2 linked regions of the Rhinolophus ferrumequinum genome follow. The protein of the gene in region 1 interacts with the protein of each later gene in a pairwise test. Links are inferred from orthologs where the notes say so. Each region holds a gene or a part of one and is shown on either strand. Other genes may lie near its edges. The genes, in order: AP1B1 and AP1G1.

Region 1 (16,070 bases):
TTGGGTGCCAGAGAGTGTTGGATCCTGGCGGCAGAAGATGCAGTGGTCCTGGCCAACGAGAAGTCTCACGCAGACTAGCGTGGACACTGCACATCGCGCCCTCCTCTTGGAAACCCGTTCTTCCCTTGCATTCCAGGATGCCATGTTCTCTGCTTTCCCTCCTACCCCACTGTCTGCTGCTCCTCCGTGTCCTTTGTTAATTCTTCCTCCTTTCCGTCTCCTTCAACACTGGAGCGCCCATGACATCATCCAGTGTCAAGGCTGTAAGTATCATCTACATGCTGACAACTTTACAGCCCCAGGCCCAACCTCTCCCCATATATCCAACCTGCCTAACTGACATCTAAACTTGACTGTCTATATGGCTAACAGGAGGCTCAAACTTAACATGATAAAAACTGACCTCAGGTTTCCCCCAACGGGCTCAGCCTGCAGTCTTCATCATCTAGTTACTGCCAATATCATCTTGAACAGGTTCTCAGGCCAGAAGCCTTGGTTACCCTTGACAACACACACTCTCTCGCTCATATCCCACATCTAATCTATCGGCAAACCCTACTGGGTCTACCTCGAAATGAATCCAGAATCCATGAAGCAGCGTTTCATCAGCTCCATCACGACCAGCAGGCCACAGGCCACTATCGCCTCCCACTGGGATGCTACCAACGCTGTGTCCACACTGCCCCCCACAACCCACCTCAGCAACAGGCAGAACGATCGTATTACAGTCTAAGCCAGCGGCACACCTTTGCTTAAAATCCCACAACGGTTCCCCGTCTCTCTCAGAGTAAAAGCCAAAGTCCCCATCATGGCCTCATGGCCTCTGAGGCCCTGTATGAGATGTACACCCCCTCCTGTCTCTCACACACACCTTCCCTGCCACTACCTCTTCGAATTCTTCTCGCACTGTTCTCTCCATCACTCCCTCAGTTCCAGCCATATGGGCCTCTTTGCTGACCCTTGAACAAAATAGGCATGTTTCTACTTCAGGACCTTTGCACACATGGTTTACTTTTCCAGGGAGGCTCTTTCTCCAAATAGCCTCATGACTTAGTCTCTCACCTCATTTAAATCTTGGCTCAAATGTCACCTTCTGACTGAGGCCTTCTCTGACCACTTTATTTAAAATTGTACACATCCACCTCACTTTCTAGTCTTCTTTCTCATCTAGTTTTTTCTTCAAAGTATGTAATACCAACATTCTATAAGATGTATTTGTATTGTCTATTGTTTTCTCCCTCCATACTATAAATTCCATGAGGAGAAGGATTTTGTCCCTTTTATTCCCTACTGTAGTCCCAGCTCCTAGACTGGTACCTGGCAAATAGTAGGGACTCAATAAATATTAGAATGACTAGTGCTAAACTCTCCTCTTGAGGAACTTTCACATTTTGTAAAACCATCCTGAGCTAGACAGCCACTTCCCAGGGTTCCATTTGCCAGGATCAGACTGTACATCTAATGTGGTTGTCAAGCTATTTTGACAAAATCGAAATTGAAAATGCCAAACCCCATCACCCGTATTACAGCCAATAAATGTAAGTAAATAAATTATAAGAGGGAAAAGAAAGGGCAGAGGGTAGAAGATCAGGTGGCAATGTCTCTATTGGGAGACATGTCCAGGCCACTTCCCTCAGGGAGGCCAGACCATCGTCCCCTGCTCCACAGGCATCAGCTCACAGAGTAACCAGAACTGTGGGACGTGGGGGACAAATGCTGGGGGAGAGGCTTAACGGGGGCTCTGACACAGGCTATGAAGTGAGCACAGCTGGGCCCTTCCCTCTGCCGACAAGCCTTTAGGCCCATGGGAACGTCTGTGTACCTCTCACTGCCTTTGCACATGCTGATCCTCTGCCTGGATTATCCCGTCCAGCTTCTAGAGTGGCTGCTCCAACTTACCCTTCAAATCTCAGCTTAGCTGACATCATTTCAAAGATACCATTCCTGCACGCACGAAGTAGCAATTTTTCTGTCCTCACCCCCAGTAGCCCTATTCAGACGTTTACTGACCACCTCCCGCAGTTCATAAACAGGTCTACATGCTGGGGATGCAGCCGTGAATGAAACAGACAAAAAGCCTTCCCTTCATAGAGCACACATCCTAATGGCAGACGGGACCCTCAGCAAGAAAAACTGTGAAATGCACAGCATCTCGGATAGTGATTCACTGCTACAGAGAAAAGGAGAGCAGAGAAGGAGGATAGGGAGTGTGGGGGAGGGGAGGTTGAAATTTAACTAGGGAGGCCACAGAAGGCCTCCTTGAAGTGGCAGGTGACACTGTCCAGGCATAAGAAATAGTCAGGGCAAAGGTTGGAGTGTGCCTGGCCTGCTTGAGGAATACGAGGAAGGTGACATGGCTGGAGCTGAGTGAGCAAGGAGGGGTGTAGGGGGGTATGAGGTCAGACGAGAATGGAGGGGGCCTTCCAGATCCAGGTAAGGACTCTGGCTTTTTACGCTGCGTGAGCTGGGAGCCACTGAGGCTTCTGAGCAGGAGTCCCGAAATCTGACTTACATTTTAACAGGTGCTGGCTGCTATGCTTCTGTTTCCCTCATAGCTTATCAGGTTTTCTAATTTTTAATGTTTGTTTTCTATTTCTTCTTTGTCTTTCTCCCCCATTAGAATGTAGTAAGCAACCCAAGCCAGAAACTGTCTGGCTTGTTTACCTATCCTCACACTTAGCCCAGTGCCAGGCACACAGCAGGGTCTGAAATTAACACTGAATGAATGAATGTTGGATGTATGAAGGTTCTGTGCTCAGTGTCTCACCATCCAGCCACCCAGGGCTTAGCGATCAGAGAATAAAGACCAAAGAAGCAGACTCAACAGCTGGCTATAATGCAATTTTGTCATTCCACTCTCAATATGCTTAAGACCCCAAAAGCAATTAGGGTGTGGTAAAAAGTATGTGCTACCCAAGTCTATGCCTCTACAGAGCTCAGCTGTAACTAACGTTTTCAGCCTTGCAAATGGACACTGAAGGGTTGGTTTTAAAGCTTTTGAGACCTGACTTCCAAATCTGCCACCTTCCAGCTCAAGTCCACAGAGGAGATGGTAACCTGGGGGATCAGACTAAGGCATCCTAGCTGATGATAAACTCTGAGCATTCTGGAGTCGACCAGCCATACTCTTATCTTAATAGAAGAGGTCTACCGATTTCAGGGAGACCCTTTTAATGAAGGGCAAGCCCAAGGTCAAACCCAAGGCTAAAAACCCAAAAAGCATGAGGCTTGGAAGTCTAGAACAGCCAAGCTCCCCCTCAGCTCCATTAAATAACAGGAGACAATCCAAGAACAAGGGGTTGGGAAAGGAAAGGTGGCCACAGCACGTAGGACAGGGGCTCTCCAGGGGTCTGCACAACATAACAGATACAACATGCCAGAACTGTAAATGAGAATGTCACATACTTGAGGGGTTTGTGACCTAAAACATGTCCATACATACAAAGCTCTCAACAGTGGCCAGCCACGTAGTACTTGATAAATGTTACTCACTATTACTACTATACAGGGAGAGACGTTACCACCAGCACCCCCCCAACCCCCAGGTTTCTGGAGGCCCTGAAGCATGTTGGTGGCTCACTGGGTGGTAGCAACAGTAGTTTGATAATAGTGAATACCACCACTGCTCAGATTTCTCCCTGTCCCCTGGGATGACATGAGGATAGACGGAGACCATCTGGAATTTCTTTGAATTTCTTAGGAGTTGAGGAATCCTGACAATTCATTCATTTGTTCATTCACTGAACAATGACTGAGCACCTACCACGTGCCAGACATTTTACTAGGTGCTGGAGACACAGACAGGACAAGTCCTCTCCAAGAGTTAAGAGCCTTTTACATAGAAGAGAGCCAAGCAAGCAATAACAACCCACTGTGAACAGTGCCACATCAAAGAAGAGCATCTAGTTCAGGCCTGCAGGGTAGGGGGTATTGATCAGATGGGAGGCACCAACAAGTGGTCCAGCAAAGGAGGATGGTCACAGGAAATGGTGTTCAGGCAGTGGGAACAGCAGAAAGCAAAGCCACAGAGGTATAAAGAGTTGGAGCTTTGCAGAAAAGCAGCTGAATTTGATTGGAGCCTGGGAGGAGGTGGAAGCGTGGAGTAGGAGCCAGGCAGGGGTCATGGCCCAAAAGGCCTTGGATGCAATGCTAAGGAATGTGAGTTTAGCCTGAGGGAAAAGAGGAACCACTCGTGGATATGCAAGCAGGATTTTTTAAAAAGGATCCCCCAAGTGCTCGAGTGACATTTTCTCTCTGGAGCTATTTGTTCCTCTGTGCGTGAAGAGAAAACGAATACAAAAACCATTTCTGGGTTGTGATAATTTATCCGTGACCTATCTTAGCTAAAAAGACCTGTTGAGAAAAAGAAACATCTTCAAATAACAGAGGCCCCCTCGGCTTACAGAATCACACCAAAGAGCAAAACCCATACCCAAGCCATGTTTGCACACTGTCAGCACCTCTGGCTTTGGGGCTGGGCGGTGGGGTTTTCTGGGAAGTGAGCAATTAAGACTTGCAACAGTTTCAGAGGATGACTAGAAAAAGATGTAAGTCCAAGCCCAAAGCCAGCAGGACTAACAGACTGCACTTGTTCTGAAAACTTTTAGGAAGTGAAACCAGAAGGATAGAAGTCCTGTGTATATAAAGATCTCTGTTTGCAGAAGTAAGTAACACCCCACAAACCAGAGTGACAGCCTTCCCCAGGCACAGGCCCCCAGCAGGCATCAACTGCCTCGGGTTAAGGCACCCACTACAATAACAGGCTCTGTACAAGTTTCCTCATCTCACCCCAATACCCACCAGTGCTGGGGGCAGGGGAAGGAAAGTGGCGGCCAGGATTATTTTAGAGCTGAGGTAAGGGAGGCCCAGCCTCAATCAATTGCCCAGGGCAAACTACCAGGAATCTGCTGAGCTGGGGATGGGACCCAGGGTTCCCTGATGGGGACATGGGAGTGCGTTTTCCATTATACACGAGCCCTCTGCTCAACCCACACTCAGCAGAGCGTCCCTACATAACCTCGGAGGGGTCCGAGTCTTTGAGAACCAGTGAAGCTGCTCTTCACGAGTTTCTAAGAGATCAGGGGAGCCTGGTGGGCTCAACTCGGGACAGGGAGTCAGATGCTCTGAGCTCTGCTCATGTTCCTACATCTGTGACAAGTCCCTTCATCTCAAATCCTCTCTTGGAAGGAGAGGGATAAGGTGACAATATTAAGTTTCTGTGAATTCTGTGCAACTAGGAGAACGGATCATAAAGTTAAAAAAAAAAGGTATTACAGTAGTATTTACAGCCCAGCTTTCTTCAGCGGCATGTGGAAACCTTCACGGGTTCATTAAGTCTTGGAACTCGCAGGAGTGGGTAGGAAGGCAGCAGGTTTTTCTCATGCTACCGTCAGGGAAAGTGAGACAGAAGCGGAGCAAGTAAGTGTCTGTACAGGACGAAGGCGCAGCCTCACAGAGCCCAGTTCTCAGCCCACCAAACCACCTCCCGGTATCCCAGGCCACACGTGCTTTCCCCAGCCAAAAAGTTATGGGGCCGGCACTTTTCTGAGGGACACAGACCCTTCTTTTGAGAATGTTGTTCAAGAACTAGGGCCAAAAGATCCCCTCGGGGTCATGTAGCTCGTCTCTTTATTCCAAAAGGAGTGCAGCTCAACCCCTCTCAAGGAGAGTTTCTGAATCGTCTTAAATTAGAGTCATGGATTTTTTGTTTTGTGTCTCATGGTTCCCAAGAGTCAGGAAAAACTTCCACTGGCCCTGAAAGGTTATCACAGCAATAGTCTGAAGGGCTGTTTCGTCCTCAAGAAGGTGAATCAAAGGCCCCTTAAGAATGTTAGATGAGAAGCAATAAGGCGACATCTTTACGTAGGTGCCAAGAAATATAATGATAATTAAAGATATTAAATAACCCCTATACCCCGACCTTGATGCAGCGTCTTTTTGCTCTGCACTTTGTGGGGCCCTGAAAACCTGAGTAGGAACCCTGGCTCTGCCTGTACTACCCGATTGACCTTACCACGTGTGATTTAACCTCTCTGGGTCTCAGTTTACTCACTGATAAAATGGGGATAACAACACTTGCTACCGCACAAGTCGTTGTGAAGTTTATGTGCTGCCTTGCAAGTAGAGGACTTAGCACAGCGCCTGACGCACAGCAGGGGCTCAATAACCAGTAGCGAGCTTTTGCCTCCGTATTCTTAGTCTTATTACAGATGCCCTCAGTTAACCTGTCCATGAGACACCGACACACAGACCAAACCCAAGGCCACCACGGAGCAGGCGGCTGTTTCTTGATTTCTTTTTTTTTTCCCCCTTTTCGAACCTTGGCAAAGAGATAAGGACCTGAACGACGAGGAGGCCTCAGGATGGCCAGAGGGGTGAGTACAAAGGAGGATACGAGGACCCGAAGGGGAGTTTCCCTTCTGGCCCGGCGCAGGCTCCTCGGGGCCTAAGTCTAGAAGTCTCTCTGGGAGGACACCTCAGGAGGGGCTGCGGACCTGAGGAGGCTGGAGTGCAGGCCCGCGGCCAGGGAGGCGCGAATGAATGAACCCGCAGTCCTTCAGGCTCGTCCGAGCCTGGGAAGCCACTCTACGCCCCTCGCGCGCGCCCCGTCACCTCCGTGACCTATGACCCCGTACACCCCTCACCTCAGACCCCCGACTCCCCGCCCACTTCTTCTCCAACCTCGCCGGACTCCCCGCTTCCTCACCCGCAGGTGCGAACGGCTCTTGGCAAAACAGCGCGGCTCGGCTGGGCAGCAAAATGTCCGCGGCCTCGTCCTCCCGCTCTCCCGGTGCGTCCCTGCCGCCAGCTGCTCCGAGCCCCGCGGCTGTCACCTGCCCAGCGGAAGTGAGCTGCTCGCGCGCGGGCACTTCCGGTGGACGCACAGCCTGGGGGCGGGGTCAAAGGTGTCACCCTAGCGGGAGGTGGTGTCCGCGGGGCGGGGCCAGAAGGGGGCGGAACCGTTCGGAATTAACCCCTTCTTAGCCGCGGCAGGGCTTCGCCAATGTCTCCTGTAGAGCGCTGAGAAAAATTAGCCCCCTAACCGCTCAGTAATTTAACGTGGATGGAAAAAAGGGTAGAGACTTTGAGGTCCATCTCTTCCTTCTGTGTTGCAGAGGGGAAAACTGAGGCTCTGAGAGGGGCAGGGTTTTGCTCAAGATCACTCACCTCATGAATGGACGAGTCAAAACTAGAGCTACAAGTCTAGTCTAGCGCTTGTTCCCCTTCAGTGCAGCCCTTTGGAAATTCTGCATTGTAGGGGGAAAATACTAGACCCTCCAAGGAACTTTTATCCAAAGAGAACTTCATAATGTCCCATTTCCCCTTTTTTTTTTTTTTTTTTAAGATTTCATTAGGACTGAAAGGACAACAACTTTACTTGGAAAACAGGCCTGGAAGTACACACTGTTCCCCAATAAAGTCCTGTTCCCCTTCAGTCTTAGTTGTGTCGGGCACAGCTCCGCTCCAGGTCCAGTTGCCATTGCTAGTTGCAGGGGGCACAGCCCACCATCTCGACTCGAGGAATTGAACTGGCAACCTTGTGGTTGAGAGGATGCACTCCAACCAACTGAGCCATCCGGGAGCTCAGCGGCAGCTCAGCTCAAGGTGCCGTGTTCAATCTTAGTTGCAGGGACTTGCGGGACTTGAGGAATTGAACTGGCAACCTTGTGGTTGAGAGCCCACTGGCCCATGTGGGAACCGAACTGGCAGCCTTAGGAGTTAGGAGCATGGAGCTCTAACCGCCTGAGCCACCGGGCCGGCCCCCCCATTTCCCTTTTGCTGGCTCTGCCAGGACTTTGATTCCCATAGCCACTTCACTACCCACTTGTTCTATTAACTTTCTCCTCCTTATAGTTTTTTTCTTTTTTTTCCCTTTCTTTCTCTTTCCTTTTTCTTTCTTTCGTTTTAGGAACAAAGAATTTAGTAGTCAGGGCTAAAGCAATTAACCCAGAAAATATTTTAAGTAAATGTTTTTTGGGTTTGTTATTTACATCTTAATTCCAGGAAGATAAACTGCTATTAATAGAATGAGAGCATCACATTTTAACATTTTAATTACACCATTATGGGCATAAAAGACTTTAATTAGCAAAAAGGCCTTATTAAACACAAGTACACATCTCTAACTTTGTCTTCTAAAATATTTTATTATTTTTATTTTTTCTTACATACTTTTTACTTTTATTTTTCAATTAGCGTTGACATTCAATATTATTTTGTATTAGTTTCAGGTGTACAGCATAGTGGTAAGACATTTATATAATTTACAAAGTGATCCCCGCAATTGGTCTAGTACCCATCTAGCACTATTACATAGTTATTGCGATATTATTCACTATATTCCCTCCACTGTACTTAACATCCCTGTGACTATATTGTAATGCCCCACTCAGGTTCAAGCCGTTGTTTCTCAGTCTAATTGTGTAGGACACAGCTCCCTGGCCCGTGCTGGTATTATTGGCCCTACCCTTGCTAAACCTACAGTTTGTCCAGGGAGAGTAACAGAGCTGCAGACACAAATGTGATAGGGGATACACTGGGGCTATGGGAATCCAGAGCAGGAACTAAAGTTCCCCCAGGGTTGAAAGGACCAGGGGAGGTCTGGACAATTGGAGGGCATTTAATCTGAATTTGCAAAACAACAATGAATGTTTATGTGCCCGTAGTCGGTAGGCAGAGGGTCTCATTTGCTCCTCACATCAGCCCCATTTTATCTGGGTAGGGACAAACTGCAACTCCAAAAGCTTAAGTCAGTGTTTGAGTGGCAGAGCTGAGGGACTGGTCCCAGAGCCCCAGAATACGTGCTTCATAAGTCCTACTCACTCGCCTAAAATATATTTGTCACTCTTATCTGAGCCAGCCATTTTGGGGATACAACAGTGAACACGAAGTGGTACAACCTCTCCTTGGGACTACTGTTAAGTGTGGGAGAGAGGCAAATAAAAGGACAATTATAACACAGCTCAGAAGGACCAGGGACGTATAGGAGACTTGGGCACCAAACTCAATCTGGGAAACTCAGGGATGGCTTCCTGGAGGAGGTGACATCCAGCCTGAACTGTGAAGGATGATATTACTACTACTAATAATTGCCATGAACCAGGCACTGTACTAGGCTCTTCTACATATTAACTCATTGAACTCTCCTAACAATTTGATTCCACAACTGTCCCCAAGTAAAGATGAGAAAACTTAGGACAGTGGGCAAAGCCAATTTCTCCGCCACTTCCCTGTGGGCCTGGGCCTCCTCTCCCATAGCTCAGTTTGTCAGGAGAGCTAAAAATATAATACTAATAAGAGACACAGCTCAATGCCAAAGGCTAGATAATTACAGCCTGCAGAGGTGGAAGACAGAAGTGGGGAAGAGAGGCTTCTCGGGGGCTTCCCTCTTCATCTCCACCACTGAATCCAGCTGGCCACCTACTCGAATCACACTCACTATCAAACACTCAGAGCTGTGTCTAGAACTAGAACAGTCACATCTAGGGCACGTGTAGTCCACACAGGCCCTCTGAGACCCCGGGCCCAGGAGGAGCCCCTTGCTCCAGGATGGGTGGAGCAGAGCCAGTGACGGTCAAGCCCACTTGGAGAGAGAAACAACCTCTCCCGACAAATACACCATTACTAACAATAACATCCCCTCCTATCTGGAGGAGGAAGTTTTAAAACTTTTCTCCAAACCCTATTCATTTCTTCCCTTCCCTATTGAGTTGGCTGACGTTGGACAGGTTTGTCAACCTCTTTGGACCTTAGTTTCTCCTTTCGGAGAACTCTGAACCCCTCCTGGGACAAGTACCACTGTATGTTCTTGACATCTATCACCATTCTCAAGTGGTGGGCACTATGATAACCCCCACTTTACATTGAGGCCCTGAGAAGCTGAGGAACTCTCCCAACTTCACGAGGGAACAGTGGGTCCATGCTTTCCCCCTTGCCCCATGCTTACCTGCTTCATGACGTTTCATCCAATCAGGGGAAGGTTGGAAGTACTTGTGATGTCATGAAATGACGCAGGACCTGCTGCTGGGCTTCAGCTACTGCGAGCTTCAGCAAGTCCCTTTCTCTTTCTGACACACAGAATCTCAGAGCCCATCCTTCTAACTCTATCGCCACACTGATGCATAATACTAAGTACTGTATGTTGAATTAAGTATTCTTTCCATCTTTGCCCACTAGAGGGCCCACAGGTGACATTAATTGCCACCCTTCCCTTCCGGTGAAATTTTCCCACAGGCAGCTCACAGAATGACTTTCTATGTACTGACCTGCTTTCTAGATTCTTCTTCTTATGTGATTTCTATTCCTCTCCTTCATTTTCTGCTTGCTTGCTGTTTTTATCCTACAAATTTCTAAAAGTTGCCTCAGATCCTTTCTGGAAGGAGGCAGGAGGTGACTTTGTCCACAGCCTCACTAACAGGGCCAGCCCCCCACCTGCTGAGGGTGGACAGCTCCAAATCCTTCCCAACCAGGGCAGGCCTGGCACAGCCCCCATGGCAGAGGGGTCTAGAGGCTGCCCGGGACCTCTCCTCTGCCCCCATTTCTCCCTGCTGCAAACGCTCGCATTCCCCCATCCCTGTTCTTCCCAGGAGCAAAATTCTGCTCACCCTCTCCTGGCTCCATTGCCACCATAGGCCATTTCTCAAAGGGTCTGCTGTCCCCTCTCAATTGCCCCTGAGAGGACTGAACCACCCTTTGCTGGTGCTATTGAAAAAGCCCAGCCTCTGAACCCCGCCTGGGTTCAAATTCCCAGCCGTGGGACCTCACTTTCCAATTTGGAAAATGGGGCTGATTGGGTGTCCATGCAAAGTTGTTAAAGAGATTAAATTGTAGAACTTACAGTGCCTGGCAACCTATAAACAGCCCCTTCCTCAATGGGAGCTTCTATTTGTATTAGTATTAGTTCAACTCAGCCACTTCCTGGCTATGTACCTGGGAACACATAACTTAGCTTCTTTGAGCCTCAGCTTCCCCAACTAGAAAATGGGACTAGTCCCCTTACACAGATGTCAAGAGAATTACAGTGGATATTGTAGGTAATGTTCTTAGAGCCATGCCCAGCAAGCACTAAATAAGCAGTAGTGACTGTGATTATTAAAGGCCATGCATTAGGGCACAAAGAAAATGTCAATAGACTCCAGTATAGAAGAATTGGAATTAATACATCATTCTTTGATGACACTCTAAAACACTAAAAATAATAAAACCAGCAAACCAACTACACCTGGCAAATAAAACACTCTCTTCTAAATAATCCCTGAAACTTCTATGCATGTAACTATGCTCCCTTCTGAAATCCCACCAAAACAATAGTAAGGGAATTTTAGAATTTTGATAAAGTGTATATAACATAAAACTTACCATTGTAACCATTTTAAAAAAAAACTTTTATTTATTTAAGTGTTTTTCCAGGACCCATCAATTCCAAGTCAAGCAGTTGTTTCAGTCTAGTTGTGGAGGGCACAGCTCACAGTGGCCCATGTGGGGATCGAACTGGCAATCTTGCTAGAGCACCACGCTCTAACCAACCAGCTGCCCCACCATTTTAACCTTTTGTTTTTTTAAATTTTATTGGGGAATACTGGGGGACAGTGTGTTTCTCCAGGGCCCATCAGCTCCAAGTCGTTGTCCTTCAATCTAGTTGTGGAGGGCGCAGCTCAGCTCCAAGTCCAGTCGCTGTTTTCAATCTTTAGTTGCAGGGGGTGCAGCTCACCATCCTATCTGGGAATTGAACCAGCAACCCTGTTGTTGAGAGCTCGGGCTCTAACCAACTGAGCCATCTGGCCGCCCCTCATTTTAACCATTTTCAGGTGTACACTTCAGTGGCATTAAGTACATTCACACTGTTGTGCAAACACCACCAACAACCATCCCCAGAACTCTTTTCATCTTCCCAAAATGAAACTCTAAACCCATTAAATACTAACTCCCTATTCTCCCTTCATCCCAGCCCCTGGCAACCACCATTCTCTTTTCTGTCTCTCTGGATTTAGTACCCCATATAAGTGGAGTCATACAACATTTGTCCTTTTGTGTCTGGCTTATTCATTCAGCACAATGTCTTCAAGGTTCATCCATATTGTAGTGTATGTCAGAACTCCATTCTTTTATGACAGTAATACTCCATTATACGGATATACCACGTTTTGTTTATCCATTTATCTGATTGACACTTGTGGGTTGCTTCCACCCTTTTGGCTACTGTGAACAATACTGTTAGAAACATGGGTGTATAAATACCTGTTTGAGTCCCTGCTTTCAGTTCTTTAGGGTATATACCCAGAAGTGGAATTGCTGGATCACGTGATTATTCTATGTTTAAGTTTTGAAGGAACTGCAATCCTATTTTCCACAACAGCAGCATCATTTTACATTCCCACCAGCAATGTACAAGAATTCCAATTTCTCCATATCCTCACCAACACTTCTTTTCTGTTTCTCAGATTTTTTTTTTTAAATAATAGCCTTCCTAATGGGTGTGAACAGGTATCTCACTTGGTTAAAGGGATTTTTAAAGGTAGAAATCCACAAAAGCCATGAGAACAAGAAAGGAAACAATGATAAAGACACTAGAAATGGGAAAGCAAATGGATAAAAGGTTAAGAACTTAGCTGAATCCTAAGCCACGAAGATGGAAGCCAAAAAGCAACCCAATTTATACTACAGAGCCCCCAAAGATTCAGGAACTGGTGGCACCAGAAACGTCTGGAAGTAGGAGTGAAAAATGCACTAAAATTTGCAGGATTGATTGAAAGTCTGAAAAGGAGTTAGACATCGCCAGATCCTTCCCTGACGCTGACCAGAAGACGTTATCGTTATGTACCCCCTCATCCAGCAGAAGATCTCAGAAAAGAGCAAAACAGAGGGCCCTGGACCACGGAACACCAGGTAGTGGGGGTAAGGGGTGTAATACAGTAAAAACAGAGAGGAAACAGGGCTCCGAGGCAGTGAGAATCACAGTGGACAAGCCCACTCATGTCAGAGCTGTCACTTAGCTGTCAGTGCATTGCTTAAAGCTGAGGAAGCAGCCAAGGATCACCAGGCATTTGAGGAATGTGGAAGTCAGAGGCCAGCACGACAAACAGATTAAACAACATGGTAGATACAATCTACATTAGTTGCCGCATACACATACTCATAGATTATTTTGGAAAGAAACATAAGAAACTGATAACATTAATCCCTGTGGGGAAGGGACCTGGTGGCTGAAGGACCTGGGAGGATAGGGGACTTTCCACTGTACTTCCTTTTGAACCTGTAAAATTATTTTAAACTTTTCATTTTGAAATACTTTTGTTTTATTTTATTTTATTTATTTTATTTTTTATGTTTTTGGGGGAAGGGGAACAGGACTTTATTGGGGAATAGTGTCTACTTCCAGGACTTTTTCCAAGTCAAGTTGTTGTCCTTTCAGTCTTAGTTGTGGAGGGTGCAGCTCAGCTCCAGGTCTAGTTGCTGTTGTTAGTTGCAGGGGGCGCAGCCCACCATCCCTTGTGGGAGTTGAGCCGGCAACCTTGTGGTTGAGAGGACGCGCTCCAACCGACTGAGCCACCGGGCCAGCCCTTGAAATACTTTTAGAATTACAGAGAAGTTACAAAAATAGTAGAGAGTTCTCATTAACCTTTCACCCAGCTTCCTCTAATGTTAACATCTTATCTAACCATAGTACACTGTAACTATAGTAAACTATAACTAACTAAACCAGAGACTTTATTCAAATCTCACCAGTTTTCCATTAAAGTCTTTTTTTTCTGTTTCAGGATCCAATCCAGGATCCCACATTGCATTTCATCATCATATCTCTTTAGTCTTCTCCGGTCTGTGACAGTTTTTCCTTTGTTTTATCAATTTTAAGCATGATGCGCTTTTGGCAATAGCACAAAAGTTATGTGCTCTTCTTGGAGCATCATAATCAGGGGAGACGCGATACATGATTTTGCTGTATCTTATTACTGGTGATGTCAACCGTGGTCTCCTGGTTGAGAGAGTGTCTGCCATGTTTCTCCACTATAAAGTTACTATTTTTCCTTTGTAATTAATGAATATCTTATGGGGAAGTACTGTGAGACATCTCTGTTGTGCTGATCTAATGATGACTTTTCTATTTCTCTCATTCTACATTTATTCATTGGAATTCTACGGTAAGGAAGAGCTCTCCTTTTGTCCCCATTGCTTTATTCAATGGTTTATTTCTATCCATAGTCAATGAGTTATTTAAATTCAATGATTTATTATGCATATGAACTCATGAACATTTTGTTCTGAGTTATCACCCAATTAAATCATTTATTTTGTTGATCTTTTTGTCCAACTTTGGCCCTTGGGAATTTTTTTAGCCTGGCTCCTTTTGACAAGCCCTCATCATGTTTTTTCAGGATTTTCTTACTTTCTGGTATTTCAAGAGGTTTCCAGGCTCATCTTGTCTTTTCTCTGCTCCAGCACTGCAGTCAACCGTTTTTCCAAATAAATTACCCTTGGACCATGATTTCATTAAGTGCAGATGAAATGTATTGATTGTCCTTCCTTTAGGTTAATATTAATTAGGTTACCTGAACACAGCATCCTAGGTACGTTATGTGAATTATTGTTAATCCTCATGTTACCTCTGCAGGCTGTGTACCATTATTATCCCTATCTTACAGATGGAGAAACTGAGGCTAAAAGCTCAGTTCATACATGGTAGAACGAGAGTTTGAGCTCAGACATGTGGGCCTCCAAAGCCTGGACTCTTTTCCTTGACGGGTAATGGGAGTTAGGGAGGGCAGGGGGACATGAGAAAACTGACAAATCCACATCAGCAGCTGGAAGGATCACGATGGATGCCTCAGAGCCGTGATGGATGTGTAATGTGTCAATATGGCGAGGCTAAAAGACATGTCGCAGAATACTCTTCCCTGGGTGGGCCACAGGAGAGGTTCTTGTGCAAGGTTTGGAGGGCAGAAGCAAAACAGCAGCCCTTTTTGTGACCTGCACACGTTGAAGCAGATTGGCATGAGGGAGGGGCAGGTCTGCAACTGCTCTGTAACTGGCCCACCTTCCCCGGATCAGCCGTTCACTCTTAGGCCAGGTGTGTAGCTCTGTGAGGAAGGGCCGCGGCTTCTCCAAGACGCCTGTGTGCACACACTACCAAGTTAGCAGCAGCAAGAACACCTGGTTTCAGACGGGCCACATAGGCTCCAGCCTATGCCTGTGGATTCCAGTACGTTCTTGTCCTACCCCACATTACAGCTCTCTGCCCCTCCTGACGGCCTGCTCAGAGTCCAGCTTGCCTAACTGCCTTGTCTCAGTGGCTGGAGGAGGACAGATTTCTCCCAAGCTGGCGCCGACCACAAAAAGGTGTAGTGACCTGCTGAACCAAGGGCCAAACAAAACAAAAAGGAAACCCAGAATCCTACATAAAAACCCAATCGTCCGGATCATAGAGGCACTTTGGTCAAGGGGTATCCTGGAACTGGGGCACCCTGGGGACAAAACTGGTGACGGGAATCTGTGGGTGGGTGTGAATCCTCACCACCACCAGATGGGATCATGTTCTCCCAGGAGCAGGGTTTGGGCCTCAACATCTGGGTTGGGATCCTGCTCTAGAACTCAGCTGGGTCAAGAGAAACCTGTGAGCTGGGCTCCCAGGTGGGGCTGAGCTGGACTGCCATGATGCCCAGACGGGCATCTGCAGCTGGGCCCGGGACAGCCACCAGGGGGCTCTGGGGCTACGTCTAGGAAGGCAGTCCCTACAGTGCTAGGGCGTCTGGGAGGTAGGAAGAATTCAGGGTAGAGGAGTGGAGGTCTCCAAGGTTGCATAGGACAACTCACACGTGCAAGGCAGCCAGCTGTACTTGTAGGAATTATTGGTGCTGTGGCTCCATCTGCTCCACCTTGGGCAGCTGGGGGTACAAAGCTGGGTTAGTGCCCCCTGGGACTCGCATTGGGGCTACACTCATGGGGAGGCCGGAGGCTATCATCATGCGGGGTGGGGAGGCTGGAGGTGGCAGGCCTTCGCCTTATGAAGATTTCTATTACTCCTTTGCTGCGTGCCAACTGTGTGAGCCACTGTGTGAGCCTCTTCAGGCCTCAGT
Region 2 (15,098 bases), on another chromosome or scaffold:
TGCCTCCCAAGCACCTCCATAGAAGAAACAGGGTGCCCTGGAAAGCAGATACAGGTAACTCAGTAGAAAAGTATAGCCCCTTGTGAATTACAACATTGTTATTCTAACTTACATATCAGTGAGTTTGATTAGGCTGAATCATCCCTAGGTGAAATACTAAAATGGAATTTCTGGATCTTCAAAGCTATGAAACAGGCTGTGAAATGTGTGACCACATCAAGATACCACCACACCCTGTCTAGGCAGCCAACTGGCATCCCTCTAAAAGGTCTTAAGCTTAATTCTCCCGAAAGTGTCACAGTAATTATAGGAATCTTCTTTTATGCTTAATTATCTATAATCAAAATTCATCAAAACTCAGATTTTAAAAATAGATGTATGTAAATGCAAATATGTCTAGTGAATGATTCAACTGCATTAAGATGCATGAAAAGCAATAAATGCCAAATAAAGAATGATATATAAACATGGTCAACATCTAACTTGACCCTAATAAAAAGCAATTTTTCACTTTCCCAATCCTAATAATAGCAAAAACATCTTAAACAGTCCTCAATTATAAAGAATTGTCATGAAATTCTCAAAACAAAATCTTAGTTTTTAAAAGGTATTCCCCAAAGGGTATTATAATAAATGTTAAGTGAGATTTTATTACCTGCGCCTACTGTGAATATAGTTTAATTTCTGTATATTTTGGTATCTTTCAAATAATGACAATGTATAATAAGCAATAAATCTTGCTTTGAAAATTCAAAAAAATTAACAAAAACCACAAGAATGGATAATCAAAGCAAAACTGCAAACTTTCAAAATAATAAGGCATTCATCCTAAAAGAACAGAGTCACATTTATCAAAGGGCATTTTTCTACAAGGTGACATTAGAAAGTTTATTAGTAAGTTAGTAGAAAGTGATTTTATACTAAGATAACAAATTTTCCGTAGCACATTCTTCATGAATCCAAGTTCTAATTAATTCTGGATACCTATAGAGGGCTGGGGCGTGGGGAGGACTGGTCCATAGAAAATTAAATAATCATTTTGAATCCTTATTTCTGACATTAGTTAGAAATGGAAGAGGGAAAATCCCACTGACAAGTGTTAAAAACTATAAAATATCTAGGAATAAATTTAGCAAGAAAGGTATAGGAACTAGATGAAGAAAATTATTAAATCTATGAAACCTTTATTGAAGGAGCTAAAACTAAAACAAGACCTGAACAAATGGAAGCTCATTATAATAAAGAAAACTTATCATTATTAAAAAATGTCAGACCTCCCCAAATTAATATATGAATACAGTGCAAATCCAAACAGAGGGCCTTTCTGAGGTTGTCTGAACCCAACAGAATTATTTTCAATCAACAGAGATATAAGAATAAATGTTTAAGAATAGTCGAGTATAGTGATAGGAGCTTTTGTTAATACAGTGTAACTTTCTATAAAGTTGTTATACTCAAACAGTAAATTAAAAGGACAGGAAGAGAAAAACAGAACATCCAGAAATAGAGCAAACATACATAGGAACTTAATATGATATGGTGGCATTTAATTCATTGAGAAAAGGACGGTTTATTTAGTCCTGGCATAACTGGCTCTCTATACAACAGAAAACCATAAGATCCCCTACTTCACACCATATAGGTAATTCCAGATGAATGAACACATGTTATATGACAAAGAATTAATATACTATAAGTTGTTCCTACAAAATAAGGAGAAAAACAACTTTAAATAAAAATGAACCAAGGACATGAACAGACAATTCTTAATAAAGGAAGTCCAAATGGCCCAAAAAAGTATCAAAAGAAGCTAACCCCAGTAATAGGGAAATTAAAATTAAGACAAAACTAAGAGACCATTTATCATATAGCAGGCCAGTAAAAATTAAGTAATTACATCTAATAATATGATAATAAGAAAAACCCACTGCCAGTGAAGGTGGAAATTATGACAACCTACTTAGAGAGTGATCTGGCAATAATAACATTTAAAATATACTTCCTTTAACGCAGAAATCCCACCTTGGAGATTCAAGTCAGTAGAAATAAAAGCACCAGCATCGCTTCTTGGCCTTTTGGCTAAGACCAAGTGAAATAAAAGCACCAGCAAATAAGATGACGTGTACAAGGACATTTATTGTAGTGCTGTTTCTGGTGGTAAAATCTACTATGTGACACAATAGCGATATTTAAAAGAACAAGATAGAATTACATTTACTGACCATGGTATGTTAAGAAAAGCTTGTTACAGAGTAATACGAAAAATATCTCTCTTTTGTAAAAACAAAGAATCACTAAATATGCACATTTATGTTTGTATATACAGTACTTGACCCAGCATGAAGAGAAATAATGAAGTATACCTATAAACTGATAAAATAGTTAGAGTATAATAGTGAAGGGCTATTAGAGTATAATAGTGAAGGAAAATGATTCGCTTTTTAAAAAGTATAACTTTAATTTTTTTCACTTATTATTAATACAATGAATACCTATTATTTTGTAAACTAAAAAGACAGACGAAAAAAACTAATAAAAAACACCAAAAACCAAAACCTCAGCACGATGAAAGTAGATTATTCAAAAACATGGGGAGAGTCAGAAACAAATAATGAACTATCAACATATTTCCATTTTGGGGGAAAAGTTCTCAACTTACTATTAGTTTCCTCAGCATACCAAATTACAAAATAGGTATTGAAAAGAAAAAAGATGGCAGGAGGAGTAGATTTCTTTGCTGCCACTTAAAGCTTGTAAGAAAAAGTCTCGATAAATCACAAAGAGAAAAGGATAACGTCAATTTCAGAATTAAACATCTGAATAATATTTTCAAAGACACGGAGACAAGGTTTTGTATATGTTTTCTAAACCTCAAAATAAATTTCACTGACATCAACTCTCCCAGTTACAAGTAAAGGACCTGCAATAGATTCCCATAACTCACTCAGGACCCTGACTGCTTTGGGCTCTAGCATCGACCAATTACCGTTTATCTGAGCACTTGAACAATTTTTTTCATATTATTTTTATTAATATCATCCATTCTGCAGAATAGCTACTACCGTGCCAAGTATTAGAAATGCCACAATTTAAGATAGTTTTTGTCCTCTGGAAGATCAAGGAAAAGTAGACAATTCCAAGGAAAAGTAGACAATTCAACAAGTACTAAAAAAAGGGTTACACCTCTTTGCCTGGGGGTAGACAGAGAGCAGGAAGAATGGGTTCACTGGTAGAGGGAGAAAGAAAAGATTCCAGTTATAGGAAGAACAGGTTCAAGGAGAATGAAAGAACATGGAGTAGTCAAGGAACAGCAAAAAGTTCTGTGAGTGTAAATAAAAATAATACAACCAAATGCTAATAAAATCAAATTGTAAGCTACTTCCTCTTTCTACTTTCTTAAATAATCAACACCATTTATTAAGCTTTCATCATGGAAATTTTCTAAAGAAAATGACGCCAAGCATTCACTGGTAGAGACAAATACACATTTATGAAAACATCACATATATTGGGTACTATCAAAAAAACAGGCTCTTTCTACTTCAAAGTTTTCCTTCAATAATCATACCAAAAACATAATATCTATAGATTCAATTACTCTACAGTGTGCCTAATTATTTTCAGTTAGTTTCCCCATTCATCTCAAACCATATTTTCACCAGATTTTTAAAATACCATGTTTTCAAAAAAATTCATCAAGTGAAAAGGGAACCAAATCTTTTCTGCAGACTTTGTAACAGAAATAAGAAAAATTAACTGAACTTTTCTTCAGCTTGAAACTGAACAATTTCCCAAGAGTGACAATTAATAAATAGTTTCACTAAATTGAGTTGTAAAAACACTAATGGAGCTCCTTTTACTTTGAGGTGTACAATTGTGTAATTAATTATAAAAGTTAGACCTTATAACCAAATAGTACATCATCTATTCTATGTCAGTCTTAATTTTAAACCAAAGGCTTATAAAAAGGGGTGTGCAACTATTTTACAGTTCAAAAGATCTAAGTTCATGCCTTTCTCATATTTACTCTTCCCAGGAATCCATAACATTAACCTCAAAGCCAGACAAGCTGAAAAGTCTAGGATGCTTTGTACAATAGAAAAAACAATCAGCTACAACAAGCTGGAGTGAGGCAAAGCAACTGCATTATCAGGTTTCACAGTGACTGTTGCACTGTAACAACAGGGTTGGGGGGGGTAAAAATTACTTTCCTTTAAGATGTCTTTAAATATTCATAAAGTACAAAAATTATATATATTTTCTCTCTCTTTTAAAAAACAGTAACTTTTTCCTTCTAAACCTGTTTTTCACTGACAATATTTATAACTTACTGATAATTTTCCTCTCCAATGGTTCAAGTTGGGTTGGGGAAAGCAAAACGTCTAAGTATCTAATGGTGAAAAAAGCATTTCTTGTTTCAATCATATTATCCTAAACCTTACCCTTTTATACAAAAGTGTTAGCTTGATGCTGACTCAACAAGTTTGGCAAGTGTGTTGTGGTTTTTTTTCCCCCTCCCATTTCTGGACCCTTCAAACATTGACAAGAGATAGTTTTTATAGTAACCAGAACTCATGCCAAATCAAGTATTTTGTGTTACTCCCTCAGTGAAGAAAAAATCTTGCACATTATTTTCATAGAAATGGCTGCCTTTACTGAAATAAAATTTTCTACATAAAAAGCAAATGAAAATATCCTAATACTTTTTGACCAAGACATGATTTTCAAGACTTGTAAACCAAAAAAATAAGAACTTAGATAAATCTGTATGTTCTCTTAATTTTAAAATTGCTTCCTACTTTAAATATCCTGCATAAAAAAACTGAACAGAATTAACAAAGGTTTCAATGAAAGAAAGCCAAAATCAAGAACTGAAAACAATTGACAAAGCACCAATACCAACTAAACAAGTTGCTGCAGTTTGAAGAAAATACTTTTAGATTTTCTGAAGCTAAATCTAAATAAAAATTTTAAAGATTTGTTATCAATTAAGTCCTTCTGTATACACAAAATTTTAAATTCCTCATCGAATGCAAATAACGGGATTTAAGCATTTCAAAAATCTGTTTTGGTAAGTAGTTTCCCAATTCAATTTTTTAAAAAATATTTTATTTGATATTAGTAATTATACTTTCATTTATTTTATTTTATTGGGAACAGTGTGTTTCTCCAGGGCCCATCAGCTCCAAGTCGCTGTCCTTCAATCCAGCTATGGAGGGTGCAGCTCAGCTCCAAGTCCAGTTACCCGTTTTCAATCTTTATTTGCAGGAGGCGCAACCCACCATCCCATGCGGGAATTGAACCGGCATCCTTGTTGTTGAGAGCTTGCACTCTAACCAACTGAGCCATCTGGCCACCCCACAATTCAATTTTTTTAAAAAAATAATGTTTTGGAAAATACTTGTTCAACTTTTTCAATTTGCATAAAAAGTTTTTATAAATCACAAAAACCTGGATTTTTGTTTTTATACACCACTGATTTCAAGACTACTTTTAAAAATAGTAGGATGAACTATTACCAAGGCATTGCTGACAATATCTGTACATTAGTTTCACTCTAAAATTCACCCTCAAATCTAGAACTGCTGTCAAAGAAACAGATTAAAGAACAAGCAACTGCTCCCCCCAAAAATTAACTGAGGTTTTCTAAACAATAATGTTAATTTCATTCAAGTATAATCCCAACAACTTTAGATAAAATAGATGCTCAGGTCTATGCTGATCAATCTACAGTGCACTAAACAGCACTTTGCTTATAATTTGTAAGGCAGAAAGACACTTTCTCCAACTGAATGCAAACCATTAGTAAATAGTTTTGAATGACATTTAAATATCAGTACATTGTGTTATGAAATGAACCGAATTAAATGACACCTATCTGATAACTCTTCCAATAATAAACGAGTGAGCATTCCATAGATGCTCCACGTTTGACCAAACTCTTTTGGTAAAAGACTTGGTTTAGAGTTCCTTTAAACAAAGAGAAACTCCACAGCTTCAGAGTAAATACGCCTATTTTTGAGAAGTCTTAAATAACAAGAACACTATTTACAATGAAAACATTCAGTCTTCTACTAATACACGATATGATCAGTACAGGAATGTACCTACCTGATAATAAGACTAATGCACTTAGACATGAATTAGAAGTATTAGAATATTTGGTCCAGTTCAAGTTATAAATTTTAAGTTCAGCAGTTACTAGGCTGTAATCTCAAATAAGTCATTTCTCTTTTGCAGATGTAAAAACCCAGGCTAAGATGAAATAGAGGTGATACAATCACTCACCTAATTTGAAATGTAGAAAATAAGCAGTGAATTACTGTAAAATGCTTTTTATTCAAGCATGCTACACTGCAAACATATGTTAAGAGTAGAATACAAGTGGTGAGATTATGGGTACCTGGAGAGTCTTTATTTTTAAACCAAAAGTTAAGGTGTATACAGTCTGACAAATATTACGAGGAACAGAAGTATTTAAAAATCCAGAAAAATCCAATACAGAAGTCAATCCAAGTATTTTTTAGAATCCGTCGACAAAGATGATTACTGTACAAAACACCTGAAAGTTAAGTTCACTAAGAAATATTCTTTCACTCCTCTCTTCTGTTAACTAATCCCTACAGCAGCAAAAAAAGTTACTTTCCTTTCTACCTACATCAGATTAAGATTCTTCACAGGCAGATTTCCATGCCTAGGGATATAAAACACCAAGAAAAACAGTGTCAATAAGAACCAAAAAGCTAAGTGTTCAGCAAAGGAAAGTAACACACAAATGAGAAAACACTTGACAGCCTATCCCTACCACCCCTCCCAAAAGCCATTTAATGGGGTTTATGAACGTTTACTGCTTAAGGACACTCTGGGCGAGTGTTTCGACGGATCTCCTAACAGGGAAACATAACCAAGCGTCCCAACTCTTTCAGGCAGTCGGGAAGATAGGGAGAATTATTAGAAACTGATGTACGCACGATCAGGAGTTTGAGAGAAGGGTAAGCAGTGTACTGGAAGGTGAGTTTAAAAACAAAAAACAAACCAAAAAAAACCCGGAAAATTGGGAAAGAAGTTGCTCGGAAGATTAAAGGGAGGCGAGGCCGATGTCCGGTTCTGAGAAGACAACACTGCAGGTGCAGACTGGAATTAACTTAGCATTTGGAAATTCTGAAAAGTTCTAGGAAAGACCTGACCCGGGTATAAGATACAAGAACGCTGATACGTGGCTCAAGAAGACACGCGGGGGTGGGACCCGCCCGGCTAACCCCAGGCTCCCCGAATGAGCCCTCAAATGAGGATCGAAGCCTGAGAAAGTCAACGGGTCCAAGGAAGCCCGCAGCGACCGAGCAACGCCACAGCACAGAATGCAACCGCGCGCGGTGCCTCCCGGTCCGAGGCCTCGGGGGTCGGTCGGCAAGAAGTCGGAGCAGTCCTTGGGGCTCCGGGCCCCTCCTGGCCCAGCCTCTGTCCTCTCTTCTCACCCCCCCACAGCCTGGGACCGGACCCCTGGGATTGACAGGAAGCTTCCGGCCAAGAGCTACCGGCAAGCGTGGGGCAAAAGCAGCAATATATTCTTAGCGCCGCGAGTGACACTCACCGGCCCGAAACCTCGAATGAGACCAGCAGCTCCGGGGGCGGCGGCAGCAGTGGCAGCAGGAACCGAACATCCAAAATGGCGGCTCCCTCGGCCTCACCACCGCTACTGCAGGCGGAGGGATCCTTAGGAAGCGGGGAGTTTTTAACTAAGCTCACACACTATCGAAAAACTTCGGTCCCTATCTTCCTCTCCTTGTCGATTCCGCGTCCTCTGACTTTAACTTCTCGTGCCTCCCCTCTCTAATTATCCAAGAACTCGAACCTCGCCGAGGACTATTTGCCAAGGAGGAGGTGACTGCGCCTGGCAGAGCGACGCAAAGCGTAGCATGAATCGGGGCTGTCACTGATGACGCGAGACGCTGCTGCCGAGTCACCGCTGCGGAGAGTCTGAGCGAGAAAGATCCGGCTGACCCAGCAGCCGACCGACATTGGTTCCGCTTGGGGGCGCCTAGGCTACCAGGAAGCGACCTAGTCACCTGAAGAGGGCGGGGCTCGCAAGATGGTAGCGAAGGAAGTGCGAGAGGCGAAGCAGGTGGTCTTGGATTCTGTGGTTTTATGGCATCTTTGCAACATACTTTACAAAAAGAGTTGGAGGATGACACGAAGAATGGATTCCAAGCCCAGTACCACCGCTCAACCATCTGCGTTGGACAAGTCATTTAAACTCTCAGGGCCTCAGTTTCCTCATATATAAACTGAGAGGATTTGGACTAGTGACAATTAAAATCCTTGCAGAGTAGGCTTTCTGACTGACTCCATGAACTAATGAACGGAGCCAAAGACAGGCTAACCAGACAGTTCCTGGCTTGATAAATAATTACTAACACCTGATACGAATATTTTCCATGTAAACGTAAAGAGGGCCATGATAGCTTGACCCATTTAAAGGAAAGGTGACCTACCTAAACTAAAATCCTTCAGATAGATTGGCAATAAAGTGAACCTCCCAAAGTGAATAAAGCACAGTACCTGGGTAGATGCCAAAGAGAACTGAACTAACCACAAATCTTGATTTTAGGACTTGTCGGTCTGTGTTTCCGTGAAAATAAGACCAGGTCTCATATTAATTTTTGCTCCAAAAGATGCATTAGGGCTTAGGTTCAGGGGATGTCAACCTGAAAAATCATGCCACGGCTTATATTCCGGTTAGGTCTTATTTTCGGGGAAACACAGTAGAAAGGTTACACTTTTCCTCTTAGCCATTCTTATGCCAGAATTTCAAAAGATTTTACAAAAATTGAACTGAATAGGCCCACCTGTACAATTTTGTTCTTGAACTACTGAGGCATGCCAAGCGGCTGGGGGGGAGAAAAAGATCAAGGGCATAATAATAGTAATTATTTTTTATTAAATATTGATACCACACTGTTTATCAAAAGCATTTTTGTATGTATAATCTAATCTTCCAACAATCTTCTGAGTCAGACTAGACAGGCATATGTAATTTAGTTTTACAAATAAGAAGATTGCGGCACAGAGAAACTGACTTAGTGAAAGACTCTCCCCATCCCCCATGGGGTTCTGCTATACCATGCCACCTTGCAAATTAGAAAACGGCACACACCCACCCACACCCATACCCACACTTAGGGTGGAATCAACCAAGGGCAAATGGTTTGGGGAGTAAAATGCTTATGGAATTCAGTCACCTTGTATCCCCTCCATGCAACTATTGTACAGTGCATCCCTGGATCACAGTGCAGCCCTAAATACAGTCGGCCCTCAGTATCCTCTAGTTGCTTCTAGGAGGAGTCAACCAACCACAGCTAGAATATATTTGGGGGAAAAATGTTACATTGTCGCTGATGTGTACTATGTAGTCAGACATCTGTACTGAATATGTACAGACTTTGTCATTATTCCATAAATAATATAACTACTATTTACATTGTATTAGGTATTATAAGTAATCTAGAGATTATTTAAACCATACAGAAGGATGTGCTTAAGTTATATGCAAATATGACACCATTTTATATAAAGGATTTTAGCACCCTTGAATTTGGGTATTCGTGGGAGTCCTGGAACCAATCCCCCACAGATAGCAAGGGCTGACTATAGTAGTGCAAAACTGGAACACCGTAATGATGCCTTGACATGGATTCCTCTGAGGTATAGCTATGCATGAACACATGCTAAAGTACTACAGTTTGAGGCTCCCATAAAAGTAAGGAATTTATAGGGTGGGCAGTGGGGTTTAAAAAAAAAAGTAAGGAATTTACAAAGCAGTTAGCTAAAGTATTCCATTTGCAACGTGACAAAATTTGCTTAGAGGTTGAATTTAAATGTTTACCATCGCAAACAGCAAAAGAAAAGTTAAGCCATCTTCTTAAGAAAGAGGATGGAGCTGTTTTCTACCATGCCAATGATAGAGCATGAAAGAGAAAATGACAGACATTATAAAAGGCAAACCCGCTTCATGTATTTTTTTTAACTTATATTTATCTTTATAATTACCAAACCCCTCCTTCAATGTAACTGAAAACTAAAAGCAATTGACCAAGTATGTAGCATGGTCATCATTATCCTGGAATCTTTGGTTTCTGTGGCTAGCAATTGAAATTTGGGAAGACTTAATCACCATCTACTCAAACATAATCCCTAATTTCAGATAAATAAATTACAACACATCAATAAAATGAAACACTATTCTGCCAATAAAAATGGAGGTTATTATGGTTTCACAGATTTTTAGAAACATTACAAAACATTATTATAAAATGAGCTTGTAAAAAGTGTGTACTGTATATACATAGGAAAACAGTTAAAGGATAATACTAAAATCTAAAGATGATTATCTTTGGATGGTGGAATTTAGAGGATTTTTTACTTTACTATGTTTTGTTTTTGCAAGGAGCATACTGTACTTTTATTTGAAAAAAATGTTTTACATTTTGAAAAAGAAAGACCTTATAAGATAATGCAGTTTTATGGATCCAAATGCTAAAAGAGATTTTTGTTTTTAAAATAGCAACAGCCTGAAAGTATTAAACAAATTTCTAGGAAGAGATAATGGCTGAGAGAAAAGATCATTATTTTTATGGTCTTGTTTATTACTGATACCTTGTACAGTTCAATTTAACAAATAATAACAACAAACAAAACTTCAGTTTTTGGCCAGGAGTGAGACCACTTGGATGCCCATCCTGGCTGGGTTTAACTCACTTTGTTCCCTGAGCAAAGTACTTACCATCTTGGGGCCTATTTCCTCAGCTGGCCAGTATTTATTTATGACTAGCCTTATTCCAAAATGGATTCAAAGCAGCTATTATGCAGAGAGATCAAATGTGTGAAAGCACTTTGAAAAGTATCAAACGTCATGAGAATATAAGTATAAAACTTTTTTGTGCCACCTGACAATTCAACTAAAGCATTTATTGATTGCCCACTACAAGTAACAGTAGTGCATTATGTTTTACAATTTACAAAAGTGTATTCATATGCATTGATTCATTTGCTTCTCACCCACCATGAGTTTGTAAAGCATACAGGCATTATAGAATAGTTAAAAGTGTTGGTTTCTGGTGTTAAATTGCCTGGGTTTAAAACTGCTCTTCCTCTCTTTATTGTGTGACCTTCAGCAAGTTACTTAACATTTCTGAGCATTTCTGAACCTCAGTGTCCCCATCTGTAAAATGGAGTTAATAGTAGCATTGGCATCTTAAGGCTGGTGTGTTAATTAAATGAGCTGATACATTTAAAGTATTAATATTACGACAACAGCTGATATATAGTAAGGGCTCAACAAATATTATCTCTTTTTAGGATAAATTTTATTATCCCGATTTTAGAGATGAGAAAACAGAAGCTCAGAGAAATGAAATGATTTGTCACACCTACGTACAGCAAAGACCAGACTCCAATCTAAACCTTTCAACTTTGAATATATCTTTTGGCGCATATAGTAACCATTCACCAAACATGTTGCCTGACTCTTTCAACTACATCATGCTGTTCTGGGTGTACAGAATCTATAACAGGCATTTCAAAAGGGACTGACTATCCATACTTTCCAGATAATTATAATCTCATTGAGGAAAACCAGATTTTTAAAAACTCCCCAAATCCAAAAAAATCAGTGATATTATTACTCAGCAGATACATCTGAGTTCCCAAAAAAGCAGAAAAGTGAGAGATCACTAGGAGCTACAGCAGTGAAAGAGGGCTTTTGGAAGACATGGCATGCAGTTGGACTCTGTGGTCCTGAGGAGGAAGGTGGGGGGAGCAATGGGGGGCGGAGGGAACCATCTCTCTTGGACTTAGATGCAGAGGGGTTCTTAAATGACTCAGTATCATCAGCTGAAGCCATATGACCTTTACAGCAGATGGGGAAAGCCCTCTCTGTGGAAATATGGTCAGCATCTTCCACAGGGAACTCTTCCTGCTCTCCATGTGCCAGAGATCTCAGTAGAGAAAGGAGACGCAACCCTATAGGAAATGCAGTGTCGTGAGTCAAAGAGGCAGTTCCACTGGCCTGTTTTGTTACCATTTGAGTGACGAATCTATAAATAAGCCTGAAAGTCAGGGAGAAATTAGTCCCTCTGTCATTTATGTAATGCTTTTGCAAAAAGCATTTTCACATTTCTTTTAAGCATGGTCCCTAATCACCATTTATCCTGGCCTGAGAAAATGGTTTAGGAATTAATCCTTCAGTTATGACAAAATCCTGATGTAAAACTTAAGATTCTAACAGCCAACTCCTTACACTCTTTGACCTCCTACCAAGAACATGGGGAAATCTACTCTATGTTCCTTCAAAGTAAAGACCAAAGAGGATATGAGGCTTGGCCAAGTTCCTTCTTTGCTTTAGAGACTTTTTTTAAAGAGGCAGCCTGAAGTACCACCGGAGATGCTTTATGTCATATTTAGGTTATATTTTCTTTTTTGTAGTGTAGTTACACTTGGTTTGTAAATGATTCTGTATTATGTTGGAACTTTTTGAGTGAAAAAAATCTCACCAGGTATGAGCCTGCAACCAAGTCAAACACTAACTGAGGAAATGGTGCCATGCTGCCATTTAGGGAAGACAAAACCGACGCCACTGGAGAAGATGCACCATCCAGAAACAAAACAGAGCTTCTGACTCATTGTTTCCCACTCAAGTCATTTTATTGCTTTAATATGGACACCATTATATGCCAAGAAGGATCCACAGTAAATTGGTTTCGTTCTCCTTTAGGTGCAAAGTCCCATCCTTGTTTCTTTAAAATCAGTCAGTCCTGCAAGTTGCTTTCAAATGAGCCTGGGAAGTCCAAGAAGTGTTGGGACATCCACGGTAACTGGGGCACCCAGTTCCTGGTACCCAGTTCAGGGAACAGCAATCTCCTTCCCCGCCAAGCTCCTCACACATGCCAGAGGATGATTTAGAACTCCAACCGGTGCCAGGGTGCAGTGCCTTACTCCTGAGGAGAGGCAGCCAACTTGCTGTGCAGATCAGTCCCTGGCCTTGGATTTGGAAGATCCTCCCTCTAATTCCATGTTCTTTGAATAAGTTTGTTCTTTGATAAAGAGGAGGATATCCTAGAATAAAAATCTCAAGAGCAAACTGATTTTTTGAAAGAGAGAAATTGGTGTCCAGATTTCACTTTTTCACATGCCAAAGGAGCCATGTAAATGTTCCTGGACACATAAAATAGGATTCTGAAATAAAGATTTTGCATAACTAATCATTGCATTTAAAATCAATTTGACATTTTTCTGTGAACCTAAAACTGCTCTAAAAAATAGAGTTTCTTAAAAAGAAAAAAAAACAAACAGACAAAAATGCCAGTTACACAAGAAACAAACAAACAAAAAATAATTAATTTGGCCATCTTGTTTTCTTAGCCTCTCCTTTATCCAGTCTCAAAGAATCACTAATATTGAGTCCACTGGAACTTAGCAAATAATAGAAACCAGAAAGGAAACATATTTATTGCGCACCTACTAAGTGTTTAAGAGCTTTATATACATTATTTCTTTTAATCCTCATTATTGTCCCCATTTTACAGGTGAGATAAAGGAGGCTAACAGCTGGCAAGTGGTGGAGTCTAAATTTGAAGCGAGGCATGCAGGAGTCCACTGATTTCCTGACAACACTTCTCTCATTCACTCTTAGTATTTGCACATTCCTTAAGATACTCATTTTCTTCCCTCTAGTTCCTTAGCTCTCTTATGCACATCTGATAGGTGCCATTTGCCAAAAGTCTTATAGCTACTAAGCACAGAGATGAGATTTTAATACACACCATTCTGCTTCCCTGGAAAAAGTGATAATTACGAGAGAAATAAGAATCCAGGAGAAAACAAAAGTTTATTGACTACAATTAATAAAATTCTGTAGGTGAGGAATCTTCATATAAGAAGTACAGAATTTTAAGGAACAAGAATAATTGTACGATTATATATGTATACACACACACATTATTAGACAGAGAACCATAGAATTTAAGAGATAGAAGGAATTGTATTAATAAATGAGAAAACTTCAGAAGGACACATCGGTGGCCATATTAAAATTTGTGCCCAGGAGTCCTAATTCCCAGGTAAATACTCAATCCAGGACTAAGGAATTATGTGGGTTTCTTCAGCATTTCAAGTCTCCAGTTAAAATCTTCAAAATCGATTTCCTCGGAATCATAAGTCAATAGATAGGCTCGCTTGAGGTTCTACATCAGGCAAATCAGGCAGTACAAAGTCACCAAAACCAGTCTTGGCTCTTGATTCTGTCTGTGGAGAAGTTTGGGGGTTGAATCCTGGACCTGTTTGTTTCAGTAAATGTAATTAAAAGCGACAACAATGTGTCCTCCAGAATGAAATTCCAGCCTCAAAGACAGTAGGCTCTTAATGCTTTTGAGAGAACAGCATATAATATGGCTGAAAAAAACTAGAAAATTCCCCCAACATGTAAATTATGGTAGTGCTTACATTTTGCTGGCTATCTCCTTCAAGGACAATCTGGACTTTAAAAAAAAAAAAAACCCACACTTTTTCAAAACAGGTGACAGGATGATCTAGTGCAGCAGTGGTTTTAAAACTTTTTCTGTGTTAAAGATCTCTTTGAGATCCACATTCACTTTGATAACTGAGTTACCATAAAGGAACACATTACACTCTTGGTAAATCACTTACAACTTCTCTCACCAATGGAGGGGTGAATAGTCTTATAACAATTAAAATCCCTTCAACAAATATGAAGCAATTTCAACTAACACCGGTATTCCCTACACTTACTAGGAATCAGTGTAGGAAACAAATCATTCTTTTCATAGGAGTCATTCTGGGGGGAAAAAAAATCACTGGTAAGCAACTGGTCTGAGTTTCCCAAGACAGATTTTGTTTATAGTAAGCCTTCAATAAATATATTTCTTAAAATTAAGTTAACTTTATCACAGTCAAGCTTCCTTCTTGTTTGAGGTGAAGTTCTTTTTATGCCTTCTGGAAATTAGCTTTAGGAGGGACTGGGTTTTGCTTCTTTTGTCACCTGTGGCCTCATACAAGAATTGGGAAATCTTTTATCTTTGAACCTG

The links.
Region 2: the proteins of AP1B1 (region 1) and AP1G1 interact in a two-hybrid assay, tested with the Homo sapiens proteins (2 studies listed by BioGRID, with this or other methods). The link is inferred for Rhinolophus ferrumequinum from reciprocal best matches to the Homo sapiens genes AP1B1 and AP1G1.

The regions. Positions count from the first base shown.
Region 1 is NC_046308.1:18,829,468-18,845,537, forward strand, and holds the start of AP1B1 (AP-1 complex subunit beta-1), read right to left. Parts: upstream 6,864-16,070; 5' UTR 6,707-6,863; intron 1-6,706. UniProt on the Homo sapiens protein: Subunit of clathrin-associated adaptor protein complex 1 that plays a role in protein sorting in the late-Golgi/trans-Golgi network (TGN) and/or endosomes.
Region 2 is NC_046298.1:20,874,299-20,889,396, reverse strand, and holds the start of AP1G1 (AP-1 complex subunit gamma-1), read right to left. Parts: upstream 7,923-15,098; 5' UTR 7,592-7,922; intron 1-7,591. UniProt on the Homo sapiens protein: Subunit of clathrin-associated adaptor protein complex 1 that plays a role in protein sorting in the late-Golgi/trans-Golgi network (TGN) and/or endosomes.